4 linked regions of the Anolis sagrei genome follow. The protein of the gene in region 1 interacts with the protein of each later gene in a biochemical or structural test. Links are inferred from orthologs where the notes say so. Each region holds a gene or a part of one and is shown on either strand. Other genes may lie near its edges.

The links.
Region 2: the proteins of ERBIN (region 1) and ABCC4 interact in a test that uses a peptide from one of them, tested with the Homo sapiens proteins (2 studies listed by BioGRID and IntAct). The link is inferred for Anolis sagrei from reciprocal best matches to the Homo sapiens genes ERBIN and ABCC4.
Region 3: the proteins of ERBIN (region 1) and ARVCF interact in a test that uses a peptide from one of them, tested with the Homo sapiens proteins (3 studies listed by BioGRID and IntAct, with this or other methods). The link is inferred for Anolis sagrei from reciprocal best matches to the Homo sapiens genes ERBIN and ARVCF.
Region 4: the proteins of ERBIN (region 1) and ATP2B4 interact in a test that uses a peptide from one of them, tested with the Homo sapiens proteins (2 studies listed by BioGRID and IntAct). The link is inferred for Anolis sagrei from reciprocal best matches to the Homo sapiens genes ERBIN and ATP2B4.

The regions. Positions count from the first base shown.
Region 1 is NC_090022.1:267,864,954-267,872,688, reverse strand, and holds the start of ERBIN (erbin), read left to right. Parts: upstream 1-4,720; 5' UTR 4,721-7,213; intron 7,214-7,735. UniProt on the Homo sapiens protein: Acts as an adapter for the receptor ERBB2, in epithelia. By binding the unphosphorylated 'Tyr-1248' of receptor ERBB2, it may contribute to stabilize this unphosphorylated state.
Region 2 is NC_090023.1:126,651,495-126,659,273, forward strand, and holds the start of ABCC4 (ATP-binding cassette sub-family C member 4), read right to left. Parts: upstream 3,021-7,779; 5' UTR 2,911-3,020; coding exon 2,834-2,910; intron 1-2,833. UniProt on the Homo sapiens protein: ATP-dependent transporter of the ATP-binding cassette (ABC) family that actively extrudes physiological compounds and xenobiotics from cells.
Region 3 is NC_090034.1:35,513,447-35,520,453, forward strand, and holds the start of ARVCF (splicing regulator ARVCF), read right to left. Parts: upstream 3,012-7,007; 5' UTR 2,704-3,011; intron 1-2,703. UniProt on the Homo sapiens protein: Contributes to the regulation of alternative splicing of pre-mRNAs.
Region 4 is NC_090024.1:191,987,644-191,995,178, reverse strand, and holds the start of ATP2B4 (plasma membrane calcium-transporting ATPase 4), read right to left. Parts: upstream 3,016-7,535; 5' UTR 2,587-3,015; intron 1-2,586. UniProt on the Homo sapiens protein: Calcium/calmodulin-regulated and magnesium-dependent enzyme that catalyzes the hydrolysis of ATP coupled with the transport of calcium out of the cell. By regulating sperm cell calcium homeostasis, may play a role in sperm motility.

The sequences.
Region 1 (7,735 bases):
ATAAAATCTGTGGGGTTGTAAGTTTAGTGAGACACCAGTCGTCTTTGCCAGGAAAGGCTAAAGACCTTGCGAAACTATAAATCTCATGATTCTGTGGCTCTTGAGCCATGGGAGTGAAAGTGTTGCCTAACTGCATTAATTCTAAAGAGTAGGGGCATATTTTGTCCAGCTGCAGCAAGGAGGCCCACTTTTGCTCTTCCCAGGAGGCTGAAGCAAAAGCAAACTGCTGCAACTTTTCCTAACATGCAAATTCTTCCGCATTAGTAATTTTTGCCATTTTGTTGTTGAAGGCTTTCATGGCCAGAATCACTGGGCTGCTGTATGGCCATGTTCCAGAAGCATTCTCTCCTGACGTTTTGCCCACATCTATGGCAGGCATCCTCAGATGTTGTGAGGTCTGTGGGAAACTAGGCAAATTAAGTTTATATATCTGTGGAATGTCCAGGGTGGAAGAAAGGACTCTGTCTGCTTCGGGCAAGTGTGACTTGCAATTGGCCACCTTTGATTAGCATTGAATGGCCTTGTAGCTTCAAAGTCTGGCTGGTATTTGCCATTTTGCCTATTTTCCCTGGCAACGAGGGAGTGTGCCATGATTCTGGAGGGTGACTATAACTCTGTTTACTTACTTACTTAGGCAATCCCTCGTAGTCCGAGGATGATGGTCCTCCAAGGTTGGTGTTCTGGTGGTGGGTCCATAGTGACTGTGGAGCCCTATTCTTGACCTGCATCTTCTCCCATAGTGAGGACATCAGTTTCCAGGTGGAAGGCGGTCCCGGTCGGGGTTGGCTTGACAGGCCTTCCTCTTGACATGTTTCTCTCTTTCGCCCTCCATTCGAGCCTCTTCAAATTCTACAGCACTGCTGGTCACAGCTGACCTCCAACTGGAGCGCTCAAGGGCCAAGGCTTCCCAGTTCTCAATGTCTATGCCAGAGTTTTTAAGGTTGGCTTTGAGAGGGATTGGCTGGTGACTGCTGGAAGAGCACTTTGGTTTCCTCGATGTTTAATGACAGGCCGAGCTTCTCATATGCTTCTGCAGAGATGTTTAGGGTGGCTTTTAGGTCTTCTTCTGAATGCGCACAGACGACATTGTCATCAGCATACTGAAGTTCTATAATAGATGTTGTTGTAACCTTGCTCCCAAGGAAAATATAACTCTGTAGTGCAGGCATGAGTAAACTTTGGCCCTCCAGGTGTTTTGAAGTCCAACTTCCACAATTCCTAACAGCCTACCCTGGGAGTTGGGAGTCCAAAACACTCCCAAGGGCTTAAGTTGCTGTAGTATCATAGAATCAAAGAGTTGGAAGAGACCTCATGGGCCATCCAGTCCAACCCCCTGCCAAGAAGCAGGAATATTTGGAAACTTGCTGTTCCATTGTGCCTTCCCAGATTAGGAATCCCTATCCCAAGTCCTAGTAGCACTTTAGCACAATTAACATTGCTGCACACCATACTTTAATTCCTACGCCCCTCCTGCCATTTCAGCACTTTTAACCTTGTACCCCTCTCGCCGGCCGAACCAGTTTTAATATGTCTTGATGTATTGTTATTGCTGTCTCGCTAATTTCTGATTTTGATTTGCTTTTTGATTTTTGATTTGCTTCGTTATTACTTGTTACGTTCTCTATTGTATTGTGTGTTGTGGCTTCGGCCTGTGTAAGCCGCATCGAGTCCTTCGGGAGATGCTCGCGGGGTACAAATAAAGTTAATAATAATAATAATAATAATAATAATAATATTGCATTCAAATCACCCCTGACAGATGGCCATCCAGCCTCTGTTTAAAAGCTTCCAAAGAAGGAGCCTCCACCACACTCCGGGGCAGAGAGTTCCACTGCTGAACGGCTCTCACAGTCAGGAAGTTCTTCCTCATGTTCAGATGGAATCTCCTCTCTTGTAGTTTGAAGCCATTGTTTCGCATCCTAGTCTCCAGGGAAGAAGAAAACAAGCTTGCTCCCTCCTCCCTGTGGCTTCCTCTCACATATTTATACATGGCTATCATATCTCCTCTTTTTTTCCCTTTTTAATCTGTGTGTTTGTTTTGCTCTGTTTGAATTGTAATACAATGGTATGGTTGCTGATGACATGATAAATAAATAAATATCTCCTCTCTTCTTCAGGCTAAACATGCCCAGCTCCTTAAGCCGCTCCTCATAGGGCTTGTTCTCCAGCCCCTTGATCATTTTAGTCGCCCTCCTCTGGACACATTCCAGCTTGTCAATATCTCTGTTGAATTGTGGTGCCCAGAATTGGACACAATATTCCAGGTGTGGTCTAACCAAAGCAGAATAGAGGGGTAGCATGACTTCCCTATATCTAGACACTGTGTTAGGGAAGTAATGCTACCCCTCTATTCTGTGTGTGACTGAGTCCTATATCTATATATCTCCTATGTATACACCTTTCTGTTTCACTCTCCTTTATGCAAATACTAAAACCCTCTTCCCTTTCTTATCCCCTCCCCAAGGATTGAAAGTGGTCTCCTGACTTGTCCTCTATTCAAACTCTTTATTATTAGGTTGTTGGTTTTTCCGGGCTATATGGCCATGTTCTAGAGGCATTTTTTCCTGACGTTTCGCCTGCATCTATGACAAGCATCCTCAGAGGTAGTGAGGTCTGTTGGAAGTAGGAAAATGGGTTTATATATTTGTGGAATGACCAGGGTGGGACAAAGAACTCTTGTCTGCTGGAGCTAGGTGTGAATGTTTCAACTGACCACCTTGATTAGCATTTGATAGCCTGGCAGTGCCTGGGGCAGTCTTTTGTTGAGAGGTGATTAGATGTGCCTGATTGTTTACTCTCTGTTGTTTTGCTGCTGTAATTTTTGAGTTTTTTAATACTGGTAGCCAGATTTTGTTCATTTTCATGGTTTCTTCCTTTCTGTTGAAATTGTCCACATGCTTGTGGATTTCAGTGGCTTCCCTGTGTAGTCTGACATGGTGGTTGTAAGAGTGGTCCAGCATTTCTTTGGAGAGAAAATGTATTTATCGTGTCATCAGCAACCATACCATTGTATTACATTTCTAACAGAACAAAACAAACAAATAGATTTAAAAAAACACAGATTTTGCAAACTTGGTAGTTGATTAAATGTCCTTTGACCAGTATCTGGCCACTTGGAGCGCCTCTGGTGTTGCCGCAAGAAGGTCCTCCATTGTGCATGTGGCAGGGCTCAGGGTGCATTGCAGCAGATGGTCAGTGGTTTGTTCTTCTCCACACTCGCATGCCGTGGATTCCACTTTGTAGCCCCATTTCTGAAGGTTGGCTCTGCATCTCGTGGTGCCAGAGCGCTGACTGCTCAGCGCCTTCCAAGTCGCCCAGTCTTCTGTGTGCCCAGGGGGGAGTCTCTCATCTGGCATCACCCACAGATTGAGGTGCTGGGTTTGGGCCTGCCACTTTTGGACTCTTGCTTGCTGAGGTGTTTCAGCGAGTGTCTCTGTAGATCTAAGAAAACTATTTCTTGATTTGAGTCGTTGACGTGCTGACTGAAACCCAAACAGGGGATGAGCTGGAGATGTCTCTGCCTTGGTCCTTTCACTATTGGCTGCTACTTCCCGGCGGATGTAAGGTGGTGCAATACCAGCTAAGCAGTGTAATTTCTCCAGTGGTGTGGGGCGCAGACACCCTGTGATAATGCGGCATGTCTCATTAAGAGCCACATCTACTGTTTTAGTGTGGTGAGATGTGTTCCACACTAGGCATGCGTACTGGAGAGGAAATAATAAGTTTTTTTTTGTCACTTAGGTTTGGAGAGGAAATAATAATAAATTATTTATTTGGAGAGGAAATAATTTATTACAGGAATGGAAATTTGGATCATAGAATCATAGAATCAAAGAGTTGGAAGAGACCTCATGGGCCATCCAGTCCAACCCCCTGCCAAGAAGCAGGAATATTGCATTCAAATCACCCCTGACAGATGGCCATCCAGCCTCTGTTTAAAAGCTTCCAAAGAAGGAGCCTCCACCACACTCCGGGGCAGAGAGTTCCACTGCTGAACGGCTCTCACAGTCAGGAAGTTCTTCCTCATGTTCAGATGGAATCTCCTCTCTTGTAGTTTGAAGCCATTGTTCCGCGTCCTAGTCTCCAAGGAAGCAGAAAACAAGCTTGCTCCCTCCTCCCTGTGGCTTCCTCTCACATATTTATACATGGCTATCATATCCCCTCTCAGCCTTCTCTTCTTCAGGCTAAACATGCCCAGCTCCTTAAGCCGCTCCTCATAGGGCTTGTTCTCCAGACCTTTTATCATTTTAGTTAGATGACGGATTGGATCGCGACTCTGTTATGTTATGAGATGCATTGTGCTACCTGTTGTTGTGTCAATATTGTATATTATGCTTTTATGGTTTTAAATTGTATATTGTTGATTGATGTTTTCCTTGTTGTAAACCGCCTTGAGTCGCCTGCTGGGCTGAGAAACTGCAGTATACAAGTAAAGTAAAGCAAATAAATAAATAAATTATTATTTCCCCTCCAAACCTAAGTGACAAAAAAAAAAAACCCTTTCCTCTCCTTCCCTCCTACCTATCTTTATATATAGAGAGAGAGATTTTTTTTTCTTATTCCTCACACCCTAACCTGATCTTTTTCCTCCCTTCCTTCCCGGCCAAACCTTGAGAGCGCCACCTGATTGGCTGCGACGGGAGTCTCCTCTCTCCGGATTGGCTGAGGCGCGTCGCCCATTGCCAGACTTGTTGTCTGGCTCTGAGGGGGAAAGAAAAGTCTGAAAAGGGAGGAGGAGGGAGGGAAGGCCTCTCTCAGTCTCTCTCTCTCTGGCCTGGGCGGAGGCGCAAAAGCCGCGTAGTAGTAGTAATAGTAACGCCCGCCGCCCTCTTGAGCTGTTGCTGCTTCCTCCCTCCCTTCCTCCGCCCTTTGAGGAGAGAAACACCTCATACAGAGAGAGAGAGAGAGAGAGAGCTGCTGAGGGCGGGAATAATGGGGAAAGAAGGAAGGAAGGGGGAAGTGTGAGGAGGAGGAGTCGAGTGTGAGGCAGAGGAAGCAGGGGAAGAAAGGAAAAGGAGGAGGAGGAGAGAAGGAAGGAAGGAGGGAAGGAAGGGGCTTGTTGCGCCTCCATCTCGCTTTCCCTTCCTAGTAGCAGTGAAGGAGGCGACGACAGCATCCAAGGCCTCGTGAGGGAAGGAAGGAAGGAGGGTTTGGGCCTCCAAGAGGCCGGGGAAAGCAGGCCTCAGTTGGGTTTCATGAGGGGCAGGAAATGACTCCTCAGCCGGGACTGGGCGGCGTTTGAGGCACCTGAAACCGCATATTTTGTCAGGGCGGAAAGAGAGAGAGAAAGGAGGAGACTCGACGAGACCTCTCCTCCCCCCCCCCTTCTTCTTCGCAATTGGAAAGGATACAACAAGGTGGGGGGAAAAACCCGCAAGAGTATTATCGCGAGGAGACCTTTCCTCCCCCTTCTTCGCAACAGGAAAGGATACAACAAGGGGGGAAAAACGCCGCAAGAAAGAAGAGACTGAAACACGGAAAGAAGGAGGAGAAAAAGGGACTGAAACACGCAGAGATTGAGCTTTTCTCTCCTCTGTACAAGTGAGTTGTGGAAAGGATACAACAAACGACAAGAGGAAAAAAATACACCGCAGGAAGAGACTGAAACAGGGGAAGAAGGAGGAGGAGAAAAAGGAGACTGAAACACACAGAAATTGGGACTCAACGAGAGCTTTTCTCCTCTCTACACAACTGGAGTGAGTTGTGGAAAGGATACAGCAAACAAGGAAATAAAACACCGCAAGATACAACAAACGACAAGGGGGAAAAACACCGCAAGAAGAGACAGAAACAGGGGAAGAAGGAGGAGGAGAAAAAGGAGACTGAAACACACACAGAGCTTTTCTCCTCTCTACACAACTGGAGTGAGTTGTGGAAAGGATACAACAAACAACAAGGGGGAAAAACACCGCAAGAAGAGACTGAAACAGGGGAAGAACGAGGAGGAGAAAAAGGAGATTGAAACAAGCAGATATTGAGACTCAATTAGAGCTTTTCTCCCCTCTACACAACTGGAGTGAGTTGTGGAAAGGATACAACAAACAAGGAAATAAAACACCGCAAGAAGAGACTGAAACGGGAAGAAGGAGGTTGCAAAAAAAGGAGACTGAAACACGCGAAGACTGAGACCCGACGAGAGCTTTTCTCCCCTTCTTCACAACAGGAGTGAGTTGTGGGAAGGGTACAACAAACAACGGCAAACGCAAGAAGAAGAGAAGGAGAAAAAGGGGACTGAAACACACAAAAAATTGAGACCGGGCGAGAGCTTTTTCCCCATCTACACAACTGGAGTGAGTTGTTGAAAGGATACAACAACGTCAAGGAAAAAAAAACACTGCAAGAAGAGACTGAAACAGAGGAAGAAGGAGGTGAAGAGAGAGGGAGAGACTCGACGAGAGCTTTTCTCTCCTTCTTCACAACTGGAGTGAGTTTTGGAAAAGGATAACAAACCAGGACAAAAGCAAGAAGAAGAAGAGGCTGAAACACGGAAAGGAGGAGAAGAACGGATCTAATCAGAGAGAAGGAAAGACTTCTTTGGTTCCCTTCTCGACTGAGAGGGGAAAAGTGAAGAGGAGGAAGGGGTTTTGTGGAAAGGAAGCACCAAGGAAAGTCCCCCCAAGAAGAAGAGACTTAAACGAGGAAGAGAATAAAGGATATAATCAGGCAGAAGAAAAGAAGAGATTTTTTTTGTCCCCTTCTCGACCAAAAGGGGAGAAAGGAGTTTTGTGCAAAGGAAGCACCAGGGAAAGTCCTCCCAAGAAGAAGAAGAGACGGAAAGGAGAAGAAGGGAGAGAAACAGAGATTAGACAAGATCTTTTCTCCACTGAGTGGGAAAAAAAGTGAAGAGGAGGAAAGTGTTGTGTGGAAAGGAAGCAACAAAAAGAATAAAAAAAACCAAGGAAAAGGGAGTAAAATACACAGAGAAAGAAGAGTAGAAGAGACTCTAGAGGCCTTTTCTTTTCAACTTAAGAGGAAAAAGTGAAGGGGAGAAAAGGGTTTTGGAAAGGAAACAAAAACTCCCCCCCCCAAACAACAACAAGAAGAGCTTATTTGGCCTCTCTTTTTCCCCCTGGCACTCCCAACTGAGAGTTGTTGCTTCTCCCCTTTGCTTTCGTTTTTTTGTTGGGGAGGAAAAAAATCCACTCTTGGGATTTAAAACGTTGCTGGAAGAACTCGGCGCAGATGGAGGAAATCTGGATGCCTGAAGTCTGAGGTGGGTGGGGGAAATAATTCCCCAAAAATAGGCTAATGGTATTTTTTCTTCTTTTGGAGATCGCTAATACACAGTGTGGGCCAAAAGTCACAAAGATGTCTGATGTTTTTGATGACTTTTTAAAGCAATGAAAAAACAAGATTTTGCAGATAATGTAGTTTTATTTATTTATTTATGTATTGTATATAATGTTTATTCTAAAATAAAGGAGTTCTTAAATATTGAAGCCCCTTTGTGACTTTCGGCCCACCCTGTAGTATTTTTTTTCTATTGGAGGAAGGGAAGTTATATGTATTTCGTTTTGAGTTCATGGCCTATGTTCTTGATCCCCTCCCCCCAATTTTATGCTTTTATGAATTAGGAATTTGACTTCCAGTTTCGGGATGTGTGTCTGTGATCCTTACATGCATTTTCTTGCAGAGAGAAAATCTGGGAGAATTTTTGTTGGGAGGCAAAGCCTCTCAAACAGAAGTTTCTTTGTTCCACAGCAAGAAGGTATTGAATTGAAACTGCCCGATTATG
Region 2 (7,779 bases), on another chromosome or scaffold:
GTTTTGACCTTTGTTTCATGTATATCAATAAGTGTATATATGCTTTAATTGTTGCATTTCAACTATCTTTTAATATGTGCTTTCACAAGGTGTATTTACTATGCTGTGCCCCTCCTTGAGCCAAAAGGACTGACGAATAATAAATAAAGGTAAAGGTTTCCCCTTGACATTAAACCTAGTCGTGTCCGACTCTGCGGGGTGGTGCTCATCTCCATTTCTAAGCCAAAGAGCCATCAGGGAGTGCTCATCTCATTTCTAAGCCAAAGAGCCAGCGTTGTCCATAGACACCTCCAAGGTCATGTGGCCAGCATAACTACATGGAGTACCATTACCTTCCCACAGAAGCGGTACTTATTGATCTACTGACATTTGCATCTACTGACTGCTAGATTGGCTGGAGCTGGGGCCAACAGCTGGAGCTTACCCCGCTTCCTGGATTCAAACTGCCGATCTTTCAGTGGGGCTAACAGCAGGAGCTCACCCCGCTCCCTGGATTCAAACCGCTGACCTTTTGGTCATCAAGTTCAGCAACTCAGCAGTTTAACCAGCTGTGCCACTGGGGGCTCCTGAATAATAAACATTATTATTATTGTATTGTCGAAGGCTTTCATGGCCGGGATCACTGGGTTGTTGTAGGTTTTTTCGGGCTATATGGCCATGGTCTAGAGGCAGATAGATATCTACATAAAAAGATAGATATCTACATAAAAACCCCAACCATCACCCAAGTCAAAAAAGAAGCACCATTAAAGCCTTGGAAGACCATGCAAAAAGAATCTGCGAACCCCACCTCCTCCAAGATGAACTGAACCACCTCAACTGGGCTCTCCAGGCCAATGGATACTCCACCTCAGACATCAGAAGAGCTGCAAGACCAAGAACAAGCCACGAGAGTAAAGACAAAGATCCACCCAGAGGAAAAATGTTCTTGCCATACATCAAGGGAACCACTGACCGCATAGGGAAGCTGATGAGGAAACTCAACATACAAACTATCTACAGACCCACCAAGAAAATCCAACAAATGCTACGTTCAGCAAAGGACAAGAGGGATCCTCTAGTTTCAGCAGGAGTCTACCGTATACCATGCAGCTGTGGACAAGTCTACACAGGGACCACCAAATGCAGCGCCCAAACACGAATCAACAGACAAGAATCCTTTGTCCCACCCTGGTCATTCCACAGATATATAAACCCTTTTTCCTAGTTCCAACAGACCTCACTACCTCTGAGGATGCTTGCCATAGATGCAGGCGAAATGTAAGGAGAGAATGCCTCTAGACCATGGCCATATAGCCTGAAAAAACCTACAACAACCCTATTATTATTATTATTATTATTATTATTATTATTATTATGAATAATTATGGATTTTCACTCAAATAAAATAACTTACGCCTGATGACTTTACTAAATTTAAGTTGTATAACATTTTAATTCAACGGTACAGTGTCACAGCTTTCTATACACACTTTGGGTGCATCTACACTGCGGAAGTGATGCAGTTTGAGGTTACTTTAACTGCCAAGCTCAATGCTTTGGAATCCTAAAATTGGGCACATGGGAGAAGCCCCCCACAGGATGGTAAAAGATCTGGGCGTCCCCTGGGCAACATCCTTGCAGATGGCCAATTCTCTCACACCAGAAGTAACTTGCAGTTTCTCAATTATTTATGTTTTTAAATGTTTTATGGTGTTTTTGGTCATTGAATCATTGCCATTGTAAACCACCCTTAGTCACCTGAGGGCAGAGAAGGGTGGTATACAAATATAGTAAATAATAAATAAATAAATAAGTTGCTCCTGACACACACAAAAATTCCTAAGATTGGCAGTTTGGCAGAGAAGCTAAAGACTTTGCAAAACGACAACTCCCATGACCTCATGGAAGTTGAAATGGTGTCAAAACGCATTCATTCTACAGAGAAGATGCACTTTTTGTCCCATTTACCAACTTTAAAGCCTCCCCCTGAAATAAAATATTGTATCTTCAACTTTAAAAAAAATGTTTATAGTGCCTCACTCCTGAGGTCTGGCGGAAGCCTAGAGAATCCTGACAGATTTAGGAGTCTCCACACTCCTCTTTGATCTTGGAAGAAAGCACCGAAGTTCCAATGAGAATTTATGAATCATTTCCCGTAGACCTGGCGCTAGGCAGGCCCTGCTTGGGAAGCCAAGCCCAGAAAGCCCATTTCCTCCAAGAAAGCATTGCCCTGAAGACAAAGGAACCAACAGATAAAGAGAGAAAGTGAATTACAACTTGCCCTGAGGTCAGGGACAGACTTGGCACAAGGTGCATCTAATCTACACTAGAATGGGTGCAGATCGAGACCATTTTATCTGCCAAGGCTATGGAGACATGGGAGATGTAGTTTGGAGAGGCACCAGCACCTTGTGGAACTACAACTCCCAGGGATGCCATAGCATAAAGTGGTGTCAACGTGCAGTGTAGATCAGGCATGGGCAAACTTGGGCTCTCCAGGTGTTTTGGACTTCAACTCCCATGATTCCTAACAGCCTACCGGCTGTTAGGAATCATGGGAGTTGAAGTCCAAAACACCTGGAGAGCCCAAGTTTGCCCATGGCTGGTGTAGATGCTCAACTTTTCCCTGATCCCAACTTTTTCAGCCCTGGGGCTCATCTCCATTGCTAAGCCAAAGAGCCGGCGTTGTCCGTAGACGCCTCCAAGGTCATGTGGCCGGCATGACTGCCTGGCGCGCGGTTTTATATAATCTATATCCAATATAAGCTCAGATATAGATATCCACTTCGCCTTTAGGCTCAATATTGCAACAGGGAAGGAATCCTCCCAAGTCAGGACCCTCCAGGCTCACCAGAAGAAGATCCGAGAGCATAAGCCGGCCTGGCGGAGCGGGTTTTCCTTCTGCCCGCGGGAATAGGGCGCCTCCATGAGCCCAGGAGGAAGAGGGCTCTCCCCGCCAAGGACACGCTGCGATCGGGGTGGTGTGAGCCGGGAGAAAGGAAGCGGAGCCTCGCCGGGAAGCAAGGGCTGCCACTGGCTGCAGGGAGGAGCCAGGCAAGCAGGCAGGGAGGGAGGGAGGGCGCTTCCGGGAAAGCTGACACCGGCAGGGACAGCCGTCGCCGCTAGGGGGAGCCCCGGAGACAGGCAGGTAGAGATAAAAGAAGCACGCTGCCTGCATCTCTACACTGAAGAGTGGATACACTGTGTCTCCACTATAATGCCTTCTGCTCAATGCCATTGAATCATTGGGGATGAGAAGGTTAAAGGTCTTGTCAGACTGCAACCTTCCACAGCATCATAATAATAACAGTTGTTGGAGCATGTAAAGAAATCAGTTAGTGTGTGTGTCAACTGTAAAATAAGATGTACAAGCTGATTGGGGAAACTAGCTGAGTCTGGGACTTTTGGTTACTGTTACATTTTTCAGGCATGAGCTATACAGGCGCTTGGAGAGAAGCACAAAGTGACAGATTGGAGTGTGCTTTTGCTTCATGAGCTGCTAGAAGGTGTTTCTCCACATGGGCAAAGAAAGACCATTATAAGTAAAGGTAAAATATAGTGGGTTGTTGTACGTTTTTTTTGGGCTATATGGCCATGTTCTAGAGGCATTTTCTCCTGACGTTGCGCCTGCATCTATGGCAAGCATCCTCAGAGGTAGTGAGGTCCATTGGAACTAATAAAGTGGATTTATATATCTGTGGAATGACCAGGGTGGGGCAAAGAACTCTTGTCTGTTGGAGCTAGGTGTGAATGTTTCAACTGACCACCTTGATTAGTAGTGCCTGGGGCAATCTTTTGTTGAGAGGTAATTAGATGTGCCTGATTGTTTCCCCTCTGTTGTTTTGCTGTTGTAATGTTAGAGTTTTTTTTTAAATATTGGTAGCCAGATTTTGTTCATTTTCATGGTTTCCTCCTTTCTGTTGAAATTGTCCACATGCTTGTGGATTTCAATGGCTTATCTATGTAGTCTGACATGGTGGTTGTGAGAGTGGTCCAGCATTTCTGTGTTCTCAAATAATATGCTGTGCCCCGATTGGTTCATCAGGTGCTCTGCTATGGCTGACTTCTCTGATTGAAGTAGTTTGCAGTGCCTTTCATGTTCCTTGATTTGTGTTTGGGCAATGCTGCGTTTGGTGGTCCCTATGTAGACTTGTCCACAGCTGCATGGTACAGGTAGACTCCTGCAGAGGTGAGAGGATCCCTCTTGTCCTTTGCTGAACGTAGCATTTGTTGGATTTTCTTGGTGGGTCTGAAGATAGTTTGTATGTTGTGTTTCCTTATAAAGTATAGTGCTATATCAGAGAGCCCCCAGTGGCGCAGTGGGTCAATGCAGTGGGTTTAGCTGAGCTGCTAAACCTGTTGACCAAAAGGTTGCAGGTTCAAATTCAGGGTGCGGTGTGAGCTCCCGCTTTCACTCCCAGCCTCTGCCAACCTAGCAGTTCGAAAACATGCAAATTTGAGTAGATCAATAGGTACCACTCCAGCAGGAAGGTAACGGCACTCCATGCAGTCATGCTGGCCACATGACCTTGGAGGTATCTACGGACAACGCCAGCTCTTCGGCTTAGAAATGGAGATGAGCACCACACCCCAGAGTCAGACCCGACTGGACTTAATGCCAGGGGAAAACTTTTACCTACCTTTACTATAGTGGTATAGTGCAATATAGTAATGTATAATACTAGTATTGTGTTGTGCTGATAATATAATATATTGTATACACAGTAGGCTGTTAGGAATTGTGTGAATTGAAGTCTGAAACACCTGAAGAGCCGAAGTTTGCCCATGCCTGGTTTAGCTGCATCCTTCAATTAAAAATTAAGGATGCATCAACGCTAGAATTACTGCAGTTTGACACTATTTGAACTGTCCTGTCTCAATGCTCTGGGATCCTGGAAGTTGTAGTTTGAGGAGGCATCAGCACTCATAGAGAACTTTAAAGGTCTTGCAAAACTACATCTCCCAAGGTGTCATAGCACTGAGCCAGGCAGTGCTATGACTCCATTTGGCTTAGTGGTTTAGTGGTGAAGTGACTGCTGGAGAACATATGAAATTGATGCAACCACAGTTGTCACAGTAAAGAAGAGTGTCTGCCTTTAGACAACAATTGCAGGCTGTTCAAGCAAAACTGCGTTTGATGAAAGAGTTTGCAGCTGCTTCCTTCCCCCAAAAAAGTCATCAGGAAACCAGAGGAGATGGTTGCAGAGCTTGAAAAAGTGAACCTTACGACGGAGAGCAAAACACGATGAGAGTAATGAAAACAAAACTAACAGGTTTTCATGTCCTTGGATGGGGGCCTCAGAGAAATGTCAAGTTTTTTGTACACAAACTAAGCCTCCGGCATGAGATTGCGAAGGAAGAAAGGACACAAGTAAACCACAAGGACACAGAGGGGCCAGGAATAGTTATGAATGCCAAAATGTTTGTTCTAGATGGGCCCTGGATATCTAAACAGCACTACTGGAAGATATACAAAAAATTAGACTTTTGCCCAAGACCCCAGATAGTTTTTCACCAAAGAAATATAACTTCCTGAAAAGGTTTGCTTCAATATTTCTACAGCTCGGGAATCAAAATTGTGGTAATGCAACACTCATGGGAGAACTGGAAACTTGGGACAAGAGCTACAAGTCTTTAGATATCAATACAAAGGGGAAACATGGAAGAAATGTCCAAATTGCAAATTAAGATATAACCAGACACAGCACATTTTGTGTGATATTTACCTGCATTCTTGTACCAACATGATCCATACCCCATATTTGTTATCATCATATCATAATTGTGATGTGGGGAATAAGTGGCACAACAGGTTTCCCCTTGCAAATATTTGTCAGTATGTAATAGAGCCACCCTTCCACATTCGTAGGGGATAGAGGTACGGGACCACTGGGAAAGTAAAGAAGCTCAAATTACTATTTTTTAACCTGAGCAAATCTCTCTAGGAGTTTCCAGATCTTCCAAAATTAATCTAGAACCAATATCCACTGTAAACCAACCACAGGATTGTATTGAAGGACCTTGAAATTCACAGAGATAATATTTTTAATCAAATCCATGAATAACACTATTTAACAAAACTCTGTGCCTGGTTTGAAAGTGTTATTTCCTGTTTAGTTGTGCAGTATTTACTTTGCAATTAGCTGTTATACTCCAGAATCTTCGTTTTCATGAATGCCACAAACTAAGTTGAATTGATTGAGACTCTATAATATTAATATACTTTATTTATATTCTGCCCTATCTTCTTGAGGGAACTCAGGGCAGATTACAGTACACATATACGGCAAACATTCAATGCCGTTATACAATTAACCAAGGCAGAAAGTACATAAAGAGAGGTAAAGGCTTCCCATCTTTTTCCATCTGGAAGCAGTGCTTGACTCCGGCCATGGAGTCATGCTGTTGCTCCATCTTCCATGCCGAGGAGCTTTGTTGTCCCCAGACGCTCTCCTGATTGAATTGCCGACATGTCCACATGGTGCCTTTTATTACCTCCCAGCCAAAGCGATACATATTTATCTACTAACATTGCTGTTTTCAAAATACTAGGTGAGCAGAAGCTGGACTGACAGGAGCTCACCCCAACCCAGGCTTGAACTGTCAACCTTTCGATCTGCAAGATTTTCTGCAACTGGCAATTTAACCCACTGTGCTAAAGCCCAGCCCTGTGAGATATTCATTGAAAAACAATAGCAAAATATGCTGCAGGATGTCTCACAAAACCAACGTTTTTGCAGTTTAATAAACTTTTCCCATGTTTTTAATCACAGAACCAATTAAGAAATGATATTTATAACCCAAGAACCTTTTTTTGTCGTGTCAGGAGCAACCTGAGAAACTGCAAGTCGCTTCGGGTGTGAGAGAATTGGCCGTCTGCAAGGACATTGGCCAGGGGACGCCCGGATGATTTGATGTTTTTATCATCCTTGGGGAGGCTTCTCTCATGTCCCCGCATGAGGAGCTAAGAACTAAAATCGTGTTACATAGAGTAATCTAATCCACAAAAGTCGAAAGTGCAAATGTGGACGAACGGCTACAATAAGGTTTCTCTCATATGTTAGTAAGATCTGATATTCCAATATGGCTTTAGCAGTTGATGGTAGTTTCTCTTTGGGCCTTTGTAAAAAATGAGACAGCAAGCTTTAAATTATGAAAAGACTTCTTTTGTGACAGCCTTTCTGTTATTAAATTGTATTTAATGTTTCCTTGAGGGATGGCCACTCTTCCTTGAAAGATCCTCCCAAATGTGCATGCAATGCCTTTAATGATTGCTGTTGATATATCTTTGGCAAATGAGACAAAACAATGAAAGCTGCATTCTCATTGCAACCACAATTGTTTGAAAATCTCTAAAAAGGAGCAGGCAGTCTATTAACACTTCCTGCCTGGACGACTGACTTCCCCAAATTGTTCCTCTCCAAGGACAACAACACAGGACCTATTGATAATATTGTCCATGGCAGAACTTTGGGTGCATTTACACTGTAGAATCAATGCACTTTGACACCACTTTAATTACCACAGCTCAGTGCTGTGAAATAATGGAAGTTGTAGTTTGGTAAGCCATCAGGACTCTTTGGCACAGAAGGCAAAAGACCATGTAAGGCTACAATTGCCACAGCATTGAGCCATGGCAGGTCAAGAGGGGTCAAACTGCATTAATTCTATAATGCAGAATTGTAGCAGACCCTTTTGCCCAATTGGGCCCTCAGCCAAAGCTTGGCTTGCAACCGGTGAGCGAGCACAGGCAGGAATCAAGAGGACGCACAACATAATTCATCCAAGAAAAGCAGT
Region 3 (7,007 bases), on another chromosome or scaffold:
AGTTACAAAGAAGTGCAAAATCACATCCTACTTTCAGTTCCTGTTCTCAAGAATATCATATAATGAAGATCTGATTACTTTGAACATTTTTAAAGATACTAATTGCTTTGGACCATGTCAAGCAGTGGGGAGGTAAAAATGGGAGTGTGATGCATAAGGTGATGCTTGTGAAGAACAAAAGAGGTTCATCTCAGGCTCTTTGGAGAGTCTTTCCAAGGGACAGATGGGCTACTATCCAAGGGACCATTTTGCCTTCCAATCTCCATTCCTGAGCCTTTGCATTTCTGGCACAGAGAATCCTTGAGCTTCAGGTAAAAAGAAAATCAGGGGACAGAAACAATCATTGCTTCCAGTAGAAATAAATGTTTCTTACAACCCAAGTGTGATCTTATTATGTGAGGAGAAGAAACATGTAAGCATTTCCCCCCTCCTTTTAGCAACTAGAAGGAATTCCTTAATAGTTTATGTGAGTGGTTTATATTGATACAATCAAATATTAAAAGCAACAAATTATAGATCTGATGTTACAACAGCTCTAACAAGTTTTCTGATAGATTTTTTGTTTTCAGAGCCTAGGCAGACCTACCCTCCAGAGAGACATTTATGGAGATTTAGCAAATTGCACTAAAGAAAAACAAGATGCACCGATTTAGATTTCTACAACTATGATGAGTTTACAAATAGACAATCTCCAAGGTAAGATTGCGAGTGATTTGTTAACTACAGTTGTGACAGAAGAATTTGGTGCTGCCAGAAAGACACGGCAGAGAAAGAGGTGGGAGAAAGAATGGGAGTTACCAGCGCTGCATTTTGCTAACTTTGTGCCACTCCTTCCATACAAACTGCATTTTTAAAACCTTTGGCAGGCAATTTTAAATAACCAGGTGAAAACCAAGATGCATACATAACTTTCAACCTGGGTCAAGATGGGCTACAGTAACTTATGGTGGCAGCAATGGCTAGATCAGAATTAAGGTTGGAAAAAAATACAGCATATATGTTAAAAATAAAATGGAGGAAGGGAGGGGAGGGAAAAAAGAATTGTACCAGTGGTTTTTTTTTTTATTTTAGCATGCACTTTTATGGATTCAACCTCACTTTTTGGACTGCAGAAGCAAGTGGCACCTACCACTTGAAAACTACCATATAAGTAAGACTCGGATCAGAAATTCTACAGCAGTAAGACTTGGAAGTACAATTAACTTGCCTGTGTTCTTAAGAGTTACCAAGTTGGTTTCTTCAAGGAAAAACTTACAGCACCATTTGCTTAACGGGGCACATCATATAACCATTTCCTACATTACAAGGACATCTGATGAAAGAGATGGAGACTAACAGCTGTTCTTTCACAGTGCTCTCCAGCATTAGCCAGCATTTCCAGTTTGCCAAAAACATGCTAAACCTTGGGTGCTGTTTCCAAAAGACATTGCATGCTGAGAAAGCAGCTTAATGCCAAAGCTATCCTCTCCCCCAATTTGCGTACTCCTGAAGTGTGGTATAAAAATCAGTGCCCAGTTCCTACACAGTCAGGCTTCTTCTACAATTTTGTAACTTAGATCACATCCAATCTCTCTAGGAGCTTAAACTGCCAAGCCCCACTTAAACAAGACTGCAGCATGCCACCCCAGGGCTGATACCATCAGCACGCGTCAATATGCTGTCACCAGGAGAAGGACTCTCTTTTTAATAGCAGGACCAAAATAAACCTTGTCCTCACTCTGCAAAAGAAAATACACATTCATCTGCAAGTATTTCCTGTTCTGAAATATCCAAGTGGTCCCTGGAGAAAGCACAATGAGCCCCAGGGAGAATAAAAAGCAAGGAAAGGTTCTGCAGCATGGGGTGAGACCCACTGCAATATTGCCTGCCTTACATACTCCTATTCAGAAGTAAACCCTACTACACTCAGTGGGGGGTCTTTCTCAGGAAAGCAGGCAGGAGAGGTGCAACCTTAGGAAGCCCTTGCCAGCTCATTCCTTGTGCCTATCTTACAAGCAGGTAAGTAGGAGTTTCCCTTGGTTCCAGCAAACTCAGCCACACTGTGGTGATGGGTTGCAGCTTGCTCCCCCCCCCCCTCCCCCAAAGAGTTCCCGCAAGTTCTTTACAACTGTCCTCAACCCTGCAAGCATCAGAGAAGTTGAAGAAAAGCCACTTTCCGAGGATAAGAAAGCTGAAGGCTGAGGGGAGAGAAGAACCACCATCCACCAAGGAAATGGGGCTTTAATGAATGGCTGGGTCTTGGGCATGCACAATGCAACCCAAAGAGAGAGAGGGAGGGAGAGAAAGGCTCCAGCTTCCCTCCATGACAAACCAGGACAGGAACCCAGAGCATTGCAGGGTTTCCCACAGGGCACAATGCCTGGTTGTTGAGCCCTTGGCATATGCGGATCTTTTTTTTTTTTAAAGAAAGAAACGCCTTTCTCCTAGTGATCCAGCCGCATTTGAAACAACGAGCCCAGAACCGCACATGATGATCCTCCGCCAGGGATGATTCCAAGCCCACTGCCATGAAAAATAAAACAGAGAGGGAAGCCGAAGCTGCAGTTCTCTGAGCCAAAAACACAAAGCAGCCTGGTCCAGCTTGTGCAGGGTGGGGAGGAGGAATGTCCGCCTCGCAGCAAGCCAAGCACACAGCCCACAGGCCCATTCATTCCTCTCCCCCCACTGCCCCCCCACCCCATGACCCAAATCAAATCCGCTCACCATCTCTCCTCCTTGTCTTCTTCTCTGCCTTCAGCTGAATAGATTATCTTCCCTGCTGCCTGGCTGGCTTTCACACGATCGCAAAGGAGGCGGGTGTCGAAAGGGGAGGAGACTCCTTCAAATCAAATACTCAGCAATTGATCAGGGAAACAGAGGGTCAACCTCTCCCCCCCCCCCCTTCCTCTCTCCTCTCCTTGTGATGCCAAAAGGGAGGGGGATAGGAGACAAGCCAGAAAGGCAGCAATCGCGTCCCAGGATTCCTCCTGCATCCAGAGGGGGAGAGAAAGAAGCACACATGCTCAATTGCTCTCTCTCTCTCTCTCTCTCTCTCTCTCTGAGTCTGTGAAGGCGCATGGGTGTCATGATGGATTTCCCACCTCCTGATTCTCAGACCCAATGACTTTTTTGCCCATTTGGAGAATATTACGGATGCCCAACCCCAGAAAGTTCCTACTTAAGGGAAAAATATGTAACTGACTACTTTCCTTCGGAATAATAATAATCCCCCCCAGCAACCACAAAATGAATTGACTGTGTGGGTCACAAAGTCCCCTGGGTATATATGCTGCAAATTTGCCCAGACCCTGTAGAAGCTATACAAACCACATATTGCACATTCCTTCCAAGGATGACATATTGTGCACACTTCATGAAGTCAACAGACCCTTGAAATATTAAGGGGGGGGGGGGTTCTCGCAAGCATATGTGATTTAAGAGCCAATACAGATACACACTTTAAAAGTGTTTGGGATCTCCAACAACTTGGAGCAAGTGTGTGGATTGGAGCCTAAGTAGTGGTCTCTAGGGCCCCTTCTACACTGCCATATAAAATCCAGAGTATCTGCTTTGAACTGGATTATCTGGCAGTGTAGACTCATATAATCCAGTTCAATGTGGATTGTCTGCTTTGATCGCCTGGATTATATGGCAGTGTAGAAGGGGCCTAGGAGAAGGACTCATGAAATATTGCATTGTCCCCTTTCCCATAGAAAACTCTGAAGCATCTACATTCTGCCATCAGATACAAAAGGAAACAAGGGCAGAGGTGATCTTACCATCTGTCCACTGTTGTGGAACATCTTGTTCCAACTGCATTTTTCCAATCTAAAGTTATTAGAAACAAATCAAAGGGCTCACCAAAGGCTACAAGCCTCTGAGCTCTGCTCTGGGAACACGCTTTGACTGATCTCGCCAAGACTTTCCTTTCAGGACACACAAACCCTTTGCAGAATTATTCTACCCTAAACTGCTAATTACTACACTCAACTAGAGCAGAGCAACTATAATAATGAGTCCATGGAAAATCGAGATTTCCATAAATGTGATTGATCGTATGAATATATTCTAGTTAGGACTAACCATTGTGTTGAGAGACAGGTATGCCCAGTAAGTCTCTTTGAACTCAGCAAAGAGGCTGCTTCTGTGTAGGTCAGTGCAGAATCCAACTGTGAAAAAATGCCAGAAAGGGGAGGAAAATCTTGTATTTTCTACTAGAAAAGATCCAGTGGTGCAGGAGTGGGTCATTTCTATGTTGCCCACCCTCTGTAGAAACTGGACAGACTACCGAAAGAAAGAAAGGGCACAACTACACTGTAGTATTAATGCACCACTTTAATACTACACTGTAGTATTGACACCACTTTAACTGCTGTGACTCAATGCTATGGAATTATGGGAATTATACAAGGGCTATCTGGAAAGTAAGGTTACAAGGCACACTCTCGCGAGGAATTTTCTCAGGAGAAGTTGGTATCACAGCCCTATAACAGGAAGCCAGTGGAAGTGAACGAGCAGTGTTTGTCATCAGTAGCTCATCAAATGGCATTGTGAAGGTTAGAGATGAGCATCCTCATTCTGTTTCCCCCCAAGTGAAAAGTTCACGCTGTAATATGCTACCTAAATGCTAAGGGCATGAATGCAGCTACTATTCAACACAAAATTGTTTTACTTTATGGAGAGAATGTAATGTCAAGACAACAGGTCACAAAATGGGTACGGAATATATTGTGAGACCATGAAGAAACTTTGCAGAGCCATCCAAAAAAAACAAAAAAAAACATCATGGGATGCTGATAACAGGAGTCTGTCTTCTTCATGACAATGCGTGTCCGCACACCGCTCATGCAACACGAGTTGTTGACTTCATTTGGTTGGGATGTTTTAAGCCACCCCTCTCACAGTCCCAATCTCGCACCCAGTGACTATCACTTGTTAACTAAATTGAAGGAACACCTTGGTGGGAAACACTTTTCCGATGACGACGAGGTGAACACTGAAGTTACGAACTGGCTGAAAAAGGTGGAGGAAAACTTCTATGACACAGGCATCACAAACCCATTCCACGGATGCCAAAATGTATTGAACTGAATGGTGATTATGTGGAAAAATGCTATACATGCTATAATCCATGTATGTTTTATTAAAATATATTCATTCATTATATTAAAAAAATATTGTAACCTTACTTTCTGGATAACCCTCATAGATTCATAAGGTCTTTAGCCTTCCCTTCCTGAGTGCGCTGGTGCCTTACCAAACTACAACTCTCAGGATTCCATCACATTGAGCCATGGCAGTCAAAATAGAGTTAATATTGCATTAATTCTGCCATGTAAATGCACAATAAACTACACTTCCCAGAACACAGCCATGGCAGTTAAAAGTAGAGTGAGCAGGGATTTACAAATGCCAAATGTCTGGTTATTGCAATGGCTCTATTCCAGGCTTGAATAATCTGGGTCTGACTCACAGTATCCACTGAGAATTACTCCCAGGTAAAGATGGGAAACAGCTAGCACTGTGGTGTCAATGTTAGCAGACGACACTGGGCCCCACGAACACTGCCATATAATCCAGTTTCAGAATGCAGATTGACTGCATTATATGGCAATGTAGACTCATATACTCCAGTTCAATGTATTAAAATCTGCATTATATGAGTCTACAGTGACCATTACAATACAGTTCAAACTGGATTATATGACAGTGTAGACACATACAATCCATTTCAAAGCAGATAACGTGGATTATCTGCTTTGAGAATCTGGATTATGTCAGAGTAGAAGGGACCTGAGAGTATGACCTGTCCCAAATCACCTAGCAGCCTGAACTGGGATTTGAACTCCGATCTCCAAAGTCTTTGCCCAAGGGTGCATCTCCACTGTAGAATAAATGCAGTTTGACCCCTCTTGGACTGCTGTGCTAGGGCATCCTGGGAGTTGGAATTTGACAAGTTCCTGAGCCTCCTTTGCCAGAATGCAAACTACAGCTTCCAGGGGCCCCAAAGCATAACAGGAGGGCGGCTAAAGTGGGGTCAAACTGCATACAGTCCACAGTAAGCACCCGTCTGGCCTCTCTCCCCCCCCCCCCCTTCCCAAAGCTACTCATTGGTTCGCCTTTGGCTCCGGAGACCACGCCCCCGCCCTTCAGCCGGCTTGCGGTACTCAGGCACGCCGATTGGCTGACCCGCCTAGAGACCACGCCTGATTGGTGCAATTGCTGGGCGTGGCGTCTGCTAGGGCTTCTGACGTCCTTGCTTGGATTTCTCTTTTCCACACGCTTCTTCCTCTACGCTTCAGAATTAACGCAGCATATTATTATGTTTATGATGTTGATTTGTACCTCGCTTTCTCTCTCTACAAAAGAGACCCAAAGCGGCTTACAATACAACCAGTGCAATACCATTGGAAACCTAAACATGGAATATTGATGGCATTAAAAGCAAACAGTTAAAATCCTTAAAAACTGATTTAAAACGTATTCAGAGCTAAAACCACTGCAGCCCCGGACTTGGTCTTAAAAACCTCTTTCAAAAGCCTGCCTGAATAAAACGGTTTTAGCATGCCGCCGAAAGGATAGCAGGAAGGGGGCCATTCTGGTTTCCCTGGGCAACTTGACATCTCTTGAGCTACCATGGCTCCACACTATGGAATCCTGGGATTTATAGCTTTCTGGGAGTATCTACCTAGGCATGCACAACTCTCCAGGTGCTTGGGACTCCAACTTCCAGAACCCCTGTCCGTCTTGTCCAATGATCAGGAATTTCAAAACACCTGCAGGGCTGCAGGTTGTGCAGGCCAACTAAACTACACTATAGAATTTACACAGTCAGACACCCTCCCCGCGCCGCCCCGCCCCCCCCCCCCCCCCCGCCTTTTGAGCTGGCATGGCTCATCTAACCCCATTTTGACTGACTCTGTAATTGAATCCCAGGAGTTGTAGTCTGGTGAGGCACCTGTACTGTACTTCTTTGGCAGAGAAGGCTGCTCAGGACAAATCTTGGTTCAAATCTTCAAATCTTGGTT
Region 4 (7,535 bases), on another chromosome or scaffold:
TTCAGCAAGCTAGCTCTCTCTCTCCTTCTCCCACCCCCGACCTGTCGAGCTGCCAGCCAGTAGCCCATTGGTCAGTGTGGCACAGGAGACTCAGGGTGGATCTATAATGCAGTTATAAACGAAAAGTCTCAGGTTTGAATCCAGGGAGCGGCGTGAGCTCCCGCTGTTAGCCCCAGCTTCTGCCGACCTAGCAGTTCGAAAACATGCCAGTGTGGGTAGATCAATAGGTACCACTTTGATGGGAAAGTAACGACACTCCATGTAGTCACGCCGGCCGCATGACCTTGGAGGTGTCTACGGACAACGCCGGCTCTTTGGCTTAGAAATGGAGATGAGCACCAACCCCCCCCCCCTCCCCGAGTCTAGACTTAATGTCAGGAGAAAACCTTTACCGAAAGCAGTTTTGATTCTGCATGATATGAGCACTGTAGTGGGGTACATCCATTCATTCTGACACACCACTTCGATGCTGTGGGATCACGGGAAGCGCGGTTTCAGAAAGTCCAAACTCAGCCTTCTCGGCTTCACCAAAAGGACAACCCCCCCCCCCCCCGGGGACGCCACAACCTCGAGCCACAGAAGTGGGGTCCAGAAGGGTCCATTCTGGGTCAGAGACACCTTTGGGTTGCCCCTCCGCTGCAGAAGGAAGGCGTTGGGAGAGCCCACGCCTCCCTCTGGCCAAACTGTACCAAATCCTGGGTTGTTGTAGGTTTTTCGGGCTATATGGCCATGTTCTAGAAGCATTCTCTCCTGACGTTTCGCCTGCATCTATGGCAGCCATCCTCAGAGGTTGTGAGGTCTGTTATGTGGTCTGTAAGACCTCACAACCTCTGAGGATGCCTGCCATAGATGCAGGCGAAACGTCAGGAGAGAATGCTTTTAGAACATGGCCATACAGTCCGAAAAACCTACAACAACCCAGTGATTCCAGCCATGAAAGGCTTCGACGATACATTGTACCAAATCCTCCAGCGGGGAAGGGTCCAAACTGCGCTCGTCCTCCAGTGTAGACGAGGGCAAACACACCGGGCCGGAAAAGGCGCTCCCTTTTCGCACTCCACGCCCCAAACTGCCCTCGCAAAAGGCACAGACCCGGCATTGTGCTGCCCAAAGGAGAGGAAGAATCGGGTGACTGTGCTGGGAATAGCCGGGCGGGAGAGAGAGAGAGAGAGAGAGAAAGTGGGTGTCGTCGTCTGCTTTGGGGCAGGCCTCACCTGGAAGAATGTGCCCTAGGTAGAGAAGGGGCCCAGGTGGTGCAATGGGTTAAACCCTTGGGCTGGCAGAACTGAAGACCCACAGGTCGCAGGTTCTAATCCGGGGAGAGCGTGGATGAGCTCCCTCTGCTAGCTCCAGCTCCTCATGCGGGGACATGAGAGAAGCCTCCCACTAGGATGGTAAAAACATCAAAAACATCCGGGCATCCCTTGGGCAACGTCCTTGCAGACGGCCAATTCTCTCGCACCAGAAGCGACTTGCAGTTTCTCAAGTCGCTCTTGACACGAAAAAAAATGAGAGCAGGACGACCGAAGTGATCAAGACCGATGTGGGGTAACTCCAGGGTGAGGACTTGCTCCACGGGGGGGGAGGGGGCTCCTCTAAGAAAAAATAAACCTCTACGAAAGGGGTTGAAACTGCCTTCAAACAGCAGGCCATTCAATGCTAAGCAAGGTGACCAAGTGCAACATTCACACGTACCTCCAAGCAGACAAGAGTTCTTTCTCCCACCCTGGGCATTCCACAGATATATAAACCTCACTTAAGTTTCCAACAGACCCCTCAACCTCTGCCATAAATGTAGGTGAAACGTCAGGAGAGAATGCTTCTGGAACATGGGCATACAGCCCTGAAAACTCACAGCAACCCAACCCCATTGGGCCCTTCCACAGAGCCCTATATCTCAGAAAATCCCACATTAGGCTCAGATAACCCAGCTCAAAGCAGATATTGTGGGATCTCCTGCCTTGATATTCTGTGTGGAAGGGCGCTTAGAAACTCCACAGTCTGGGGCGAGGGGTTATTTCTCCCCACAAGGGAAGGAAGGGGCCTCTCCAAAAACCACGCATTGTATGCTCAGTGTGGACTTGTTTCCTGCAGAGTGGGCGCCTCTCCTGCACTGACCACACAACTCATACAACGGCGTGGAAGGGACTCCATGATGTGGGTCTGCACTGCATGATTTGGGCCCGAGTCCGCCTCCTTTCCTTTCCCCTCCCCTTCCTTCTCCTCCGCCCAAGATTCCCTCTTCGTCGGCAATTTCGCACCGGACGCAGGGAACACCCTGATTTTTCCACGCCTCGTTCGCGCCCAGCCCGGGGAAATCACACTTTCCTGAAGCGGAAAGCCCGGGACGAAGGCGGTTCACCAAGCAGGGCTTGGCTGCTGCTGCTGTTGTTTGTCCCTCCCGAGGCGGGCCTCTCCTTCCTTCCTCCCTCCTTCCCTGCGTCCCCACCCGGCCTCCCTCCAGGACAGGAATCGAGTCTTTGCCGCAGCCTCCCCGCCCTGGCTTCCCCTCCCATCATCCCCAAACCCGGAGAGCCCACAAGTCAAGCGAGAGAAAAGGGGGATTGGGGAGCCTCCCCGGCTTACTTGGGCTCTGGGAGACGAAGAGGGCGACCCGCCCAGCCGCTGCCCAACTTCACGGCCCCAGAAGAGAAGCTGAGCCGCTTCACGCGCTGCTGCTGCTGCTGCTCCCGCTGCCTTTCCTCCGCCTCCAGTCCTCTAGTCTGCCACAGGCTGGGGAAAACCCCTGGATTTCCATAGAGGAGGAGGAGGAGGAGGAGGAGGAGGAGGAGGAGGAGGAAGGGGGCGGGAAGGAGGAGGACGAGGAGGAGGGGAGAGCAGAGCAGAGGAGAGGGCGCCTGGGAGGAAGCGCAGCGCTTTCGGACCGCGGCTCTCCTCCGCTCCGAGTTTGGGAGGAGAAAGGAAAGGAGAGGCTGGCTCCTCTTGGGTTTCCTTCAAACTCTGCGAAGCCGCAGCGCCGTGGGTCCCCCCGCCTGTCCCCCTCCCCGCCTCTCTCTCTCTCTCTCTCTTTTCAAACCCAGCCTTTCCCCAAGCGGAGTCCCGCCTGCTTGGAGGAAAAGCTCGTCATGGCAACGCAGCAGCCAAGCCCTGCCACAGACTCAGCCCCGTCCTTCGCAAAAGGGAGGCAGCGAGGCTGTTAAGGTGGTTTCGCGCTCAACCGACTCCTGGTTGTGCCTGGCTTCCCTTTTAAGGGGGAAAGGAGGAGATGGCGGCGCCTCGAGGGGAACCCACGTGAAAGGAAGGGAAGGGAAGGGGGGAAACGACCCTCTTGGAGGCTTAGAAGACCACAAGTTGTGGGATGCAGCAACTAAAAAAGCCAATGGGGTTTTACATCAAAAGAAGTGTAGTGTCTAAAAAAAGCCAATGGGATTTTGGCCTGCATCAATAGTCTAGTGTCAAGATCCAGGGAAGTCATGCTACCCCTCCATTCTGCCTTGGTTAGACCACACCTGGAATACTGTGTCCAGTTCTGGGCACCACCATTGAAGCAAGATATTGACAAGCTGGAATGTGTCCAGAAGAGGACGAGTAACATGATCAAGCGTCTGGAGAACAAGCTCTATGAGGAGTGGCTTAAAGAGCTGGACATGTTTACCCTGAAGAAGAGAAGGATGAGGGTAGACATGATAGCTATGTATAAATATGTGAGAAGAAGTCATAGGGAGGAGGGAACAAGCTTGCTTTCTGCTTCCCTGGAGAATAGGACGCAGAACAATGGCTTCAAACTACAAGAAAGGAGATTCCATCTGAACATGAGGAAGAATTTCCTGACTGTGAGAGTTGTTCAGCAGTGGAACTTTCTGCCCCAGAGTGTGGTGAAGGCTCCTCCTTTGGAGACTTTTAAACAGAGGCTGGATAGCCATCTGTCAGGGGTACTTTGAATGCAATTTTCCTGCTTCTTGGCAGGGGGTTGGACTGGATGGCCCATGAGGTCTCTTCCAAATCTATGATTCTATGATTCAGTGGTTCCCAAATTTGTTCTTAAGTTGAATTTGTATGTAAGTCAGAACAGGTACATTTTAAAGTGTAACTCCAGCCAAATATATATACTTTATGTATAAGTTTTGGATAGCACAGAGAAGTGTTGACACCCTTGTAGTGTTTGCTTTGCTGTCTGTGTCCCTGTTCAGAAGATGTTACCTCACTTTCTGTCCCTGTGATAATTGGATTTTGAAATTTGTCTTCTGGAAACAAGGATTTGTGAGAAAGCATCAGCATAGAACACCCCAGCAAGCGAGAGTTCAAAAGTGGCAGGCTCAAACCCAGAACCTCAACCAGTGGCTGATACCAAATGAGAGACTCCCCCTGGGCACACAGAAAACTGGGCAACTTGGAAGGCGCTGAACAGACTGCGCTCTGGCACCACGAGATGCAGAGCCAATCTTAAGAAATGGGGCTACAAAGTGGAATCCGCAACATGCGAGTGTGGAGAGGAGCAAACCACTGACCACCTGCTGCAATGCAACCTGAGCCCTGCAACATGCACAATGGAGGACCTCCTTGCGGCAACACCAGAGGCACTCCAAGTGGCCAGATACTGGTCAAAGGACATTTAATCAACTACCAAGCTTGCAAACTTTGTGTTTTGTCTGTCTGTTTGTTTGTTTTGTTAAAAATGTAATACAAATGTCTGGTTGCTGATGACACAATAAATAAATAATTATCAGCAGAGATATCCCTATGATAACTCTTTCAGAAGTGAATTTCCTTTCTGAGGGTGAGATTTCTCTCACTTCTTGTCTCACCCACATTCCTAATTATGAGTCATTTGTAAGTCAGATGTTTGTAACATGGGGACTACCTATACAGTAGAATCTCACTTATCCAACATAAACGGGCTGGCAGAATGTTGGATAAGCGAAAATGTTGGATAATAAGAAGGGATTAAGGAAAAGCCTATGAAATGTCAAATTACATTACAGTGGTCCCTTGCCCTCTTTACCTTCCTCTTCCTCCTCCTCATTTCCACCTGGGCCTCTTGCCGCCGCTTGGGCCCTGCAATTGAGGAAGTGTCGCGAGACCCAAGCAGTGGTAAGAGGCCCAGGCAGCAATGAGAAGGAAGAAGAGGAAGGTAAAGAGGGCGAGGAGGGAAGAAGAGCTGCCCCTTTGCCCTTTTTACCTTCCTCCTCCTCCTCCTCCTCCTCCCCACCTGGGCCTCTTGCTGCCGCTTGGGCCCTGCGATTGAGGAGGCAGCGGAGGTGTTGCAGGGCCCAAGCAGTGATAAGAGGCCCAGATGGTGACGAGGAGGCAGAAGAAGGTAAAGAGGGCGAGGAGGGAAGGGGAGGTGGTGTCCCTACTTCACGGAATTACACTTATTGTGAATGGTCCTGGAACATAACACCCACAATAAGCGAGGGGCCACTGTATGATTTTACAAATTAAACATCAAAACATCATGCTTTACAACAAATCGACAGAAAACGCCATTCAGTACACAGTAACATTATGTAGTAATTACCGTATTGACCAATTTAGCACCAAAACAGGCAAGGGTTCTTTCTTTCTCCCACCCTGGTCATTATTCCACAAGTAAACATACACTCCATTTTCCTCACCTGTGAATCCCTGTGGGTGGCAGACTGCGTTGGTTAATACAGAACTTTGGATACGCGAAGGTTGGATAAGCGAGACTCTACTGTAATTCTTATTCAAAAAGTAAATTCCTATTCACACGGAGGAAGCCTAAAAGGCCATTAACTTGGTCTAAACAAGCTTCCAAAGAACATGACATTCGTGAAAGAGAAAAATAAAAGAACAGAATGACAGCTGAACTTCTGAGGAAGAAAACACTACAACATTTTTAAAATGTGTATGTCACAATATATACTTATATAGTGTATATATGAGGCCCCCATTGGCGCGGTGGGTTAAAACACTGAGCTGCTGAACTTGCTGACAAAGGCTGGTGGTCCAAATCCAGGGAGTGGTGTGAGCTCCCACTATTAGCCCCAGCTTCTGCCAATCTAACAGTTCAAAAACATGCAGATGTGAGTAGATCAATAGGTACTGCTACGATGGGAAGGTAACAGCGCTCCAGGCTGGCTGCATGACCTCATAGGTGTTTACGGACAATGCCAGCTCTTCAGCTTAGAAATTGAGATAAGCACCACTACCCAGAGTGGGACACAACTAGACTTTCTGTCGGGAAAACCTTTACTATACAAGGCCCCTAGACAATGCAAAACATTCACTGTTATTAACTCATTCTCGAATAGCTCCCTTTAAAAATCAAATTGCCCCCCTGTGGGGCATGTTCCCCATGTTGGAAACCAAGCCTCTAGATCAAGGGAAGTTGTGGTGTCCCTCTATTCCGCTTTAGTCAGACCTCACCTGGAATACTGTGTCCCGTTCTGATCACCACCATTCAAGAAGGATATTGACAAGCTGAATGTGTCCCGAGGAAAACACTTAAAATGATCAAATGTCTGGAGCAATGCCCTATTAGGAGTGGTTTTAAAACTTGGCATGTTTAGCCTGCAGAAGAGAAGGTTGAGAAGAGTTAAGATAGCCATGTTTGAACATTTGAAAGGATGTCACAAGAAAGAGGGAGTGGGCTCGTTTTCTGCTGCCCTGGAAACTAACAACCTCATAATTTGGGGCTATTTTCGGTGGGATACTCCAGTTCCTCTGCAGTTTTGCGACTGAGTCTGTCAGATCCCACCACATGACTTGGAAGCACTTCTGGCGGGGCTCCGTCACAACACCGAAGAGGAAGCAGCATATGCCGCCAATGTGTCAACATGGGAGGCTCTTGTGTTGCATTGGGATCAACGGGGAAGTTGGGTGGCAAGCACTTCCCCCCCATAGGATGAGGTAGGGGGGAAGTTGGGTGATGCAGGTTGTGGGGCAACGGATACCCCCTGCTGGGCAATGTCAGATTCACCATGATCTGTGGCAATTTCGGCAGCATATATGATGAAGTCATAGGATTCCAGGTAATGGGTTGAAGTTATAGGAAAGGAGATTCCTCCTGAACATTAGGAAGAGCTTTCTGACTGTAGCAGCTTTTCAACAGTGAAACTCCACCAGTGATGGCTTCTTCTTTGGAGGATTTTAAACAGAGGCTGTGTTATCGAAACACCAGGATCCCTAACTCACCAATAGTTGCATAAGCACTACATACACACCCCACACTGCAGGGCAGGGCTCAACATTAAGAATAACCCTACTCCCTTCACAATGCCCTGGAACTCAGAAAGAGCCACAGGGTTCTTTCCAGATTTTATCTCAGTATTTTCCTGGGAACATTTCCTCATCCCGATTGCCAGATCAGATCCCCTCCCTGGGAATCCCATTCAAAGAGTGCCAACATACTCAGCACTCATTGTATGGTCAGTCAAAACCCATTGTCCTGTTCTGGCCAGACAGGAGCAGAGCCATCAAATCCCATTACCTCTGATTCACTCATATTATTTCCTCCCTACTGTCATGAAAGGCGGAATGAGAAACAGACACAAGACTTCAAACTGAGCAATGACAATTTATTAAATTTCTTTCATACCTGGGGGCAATCA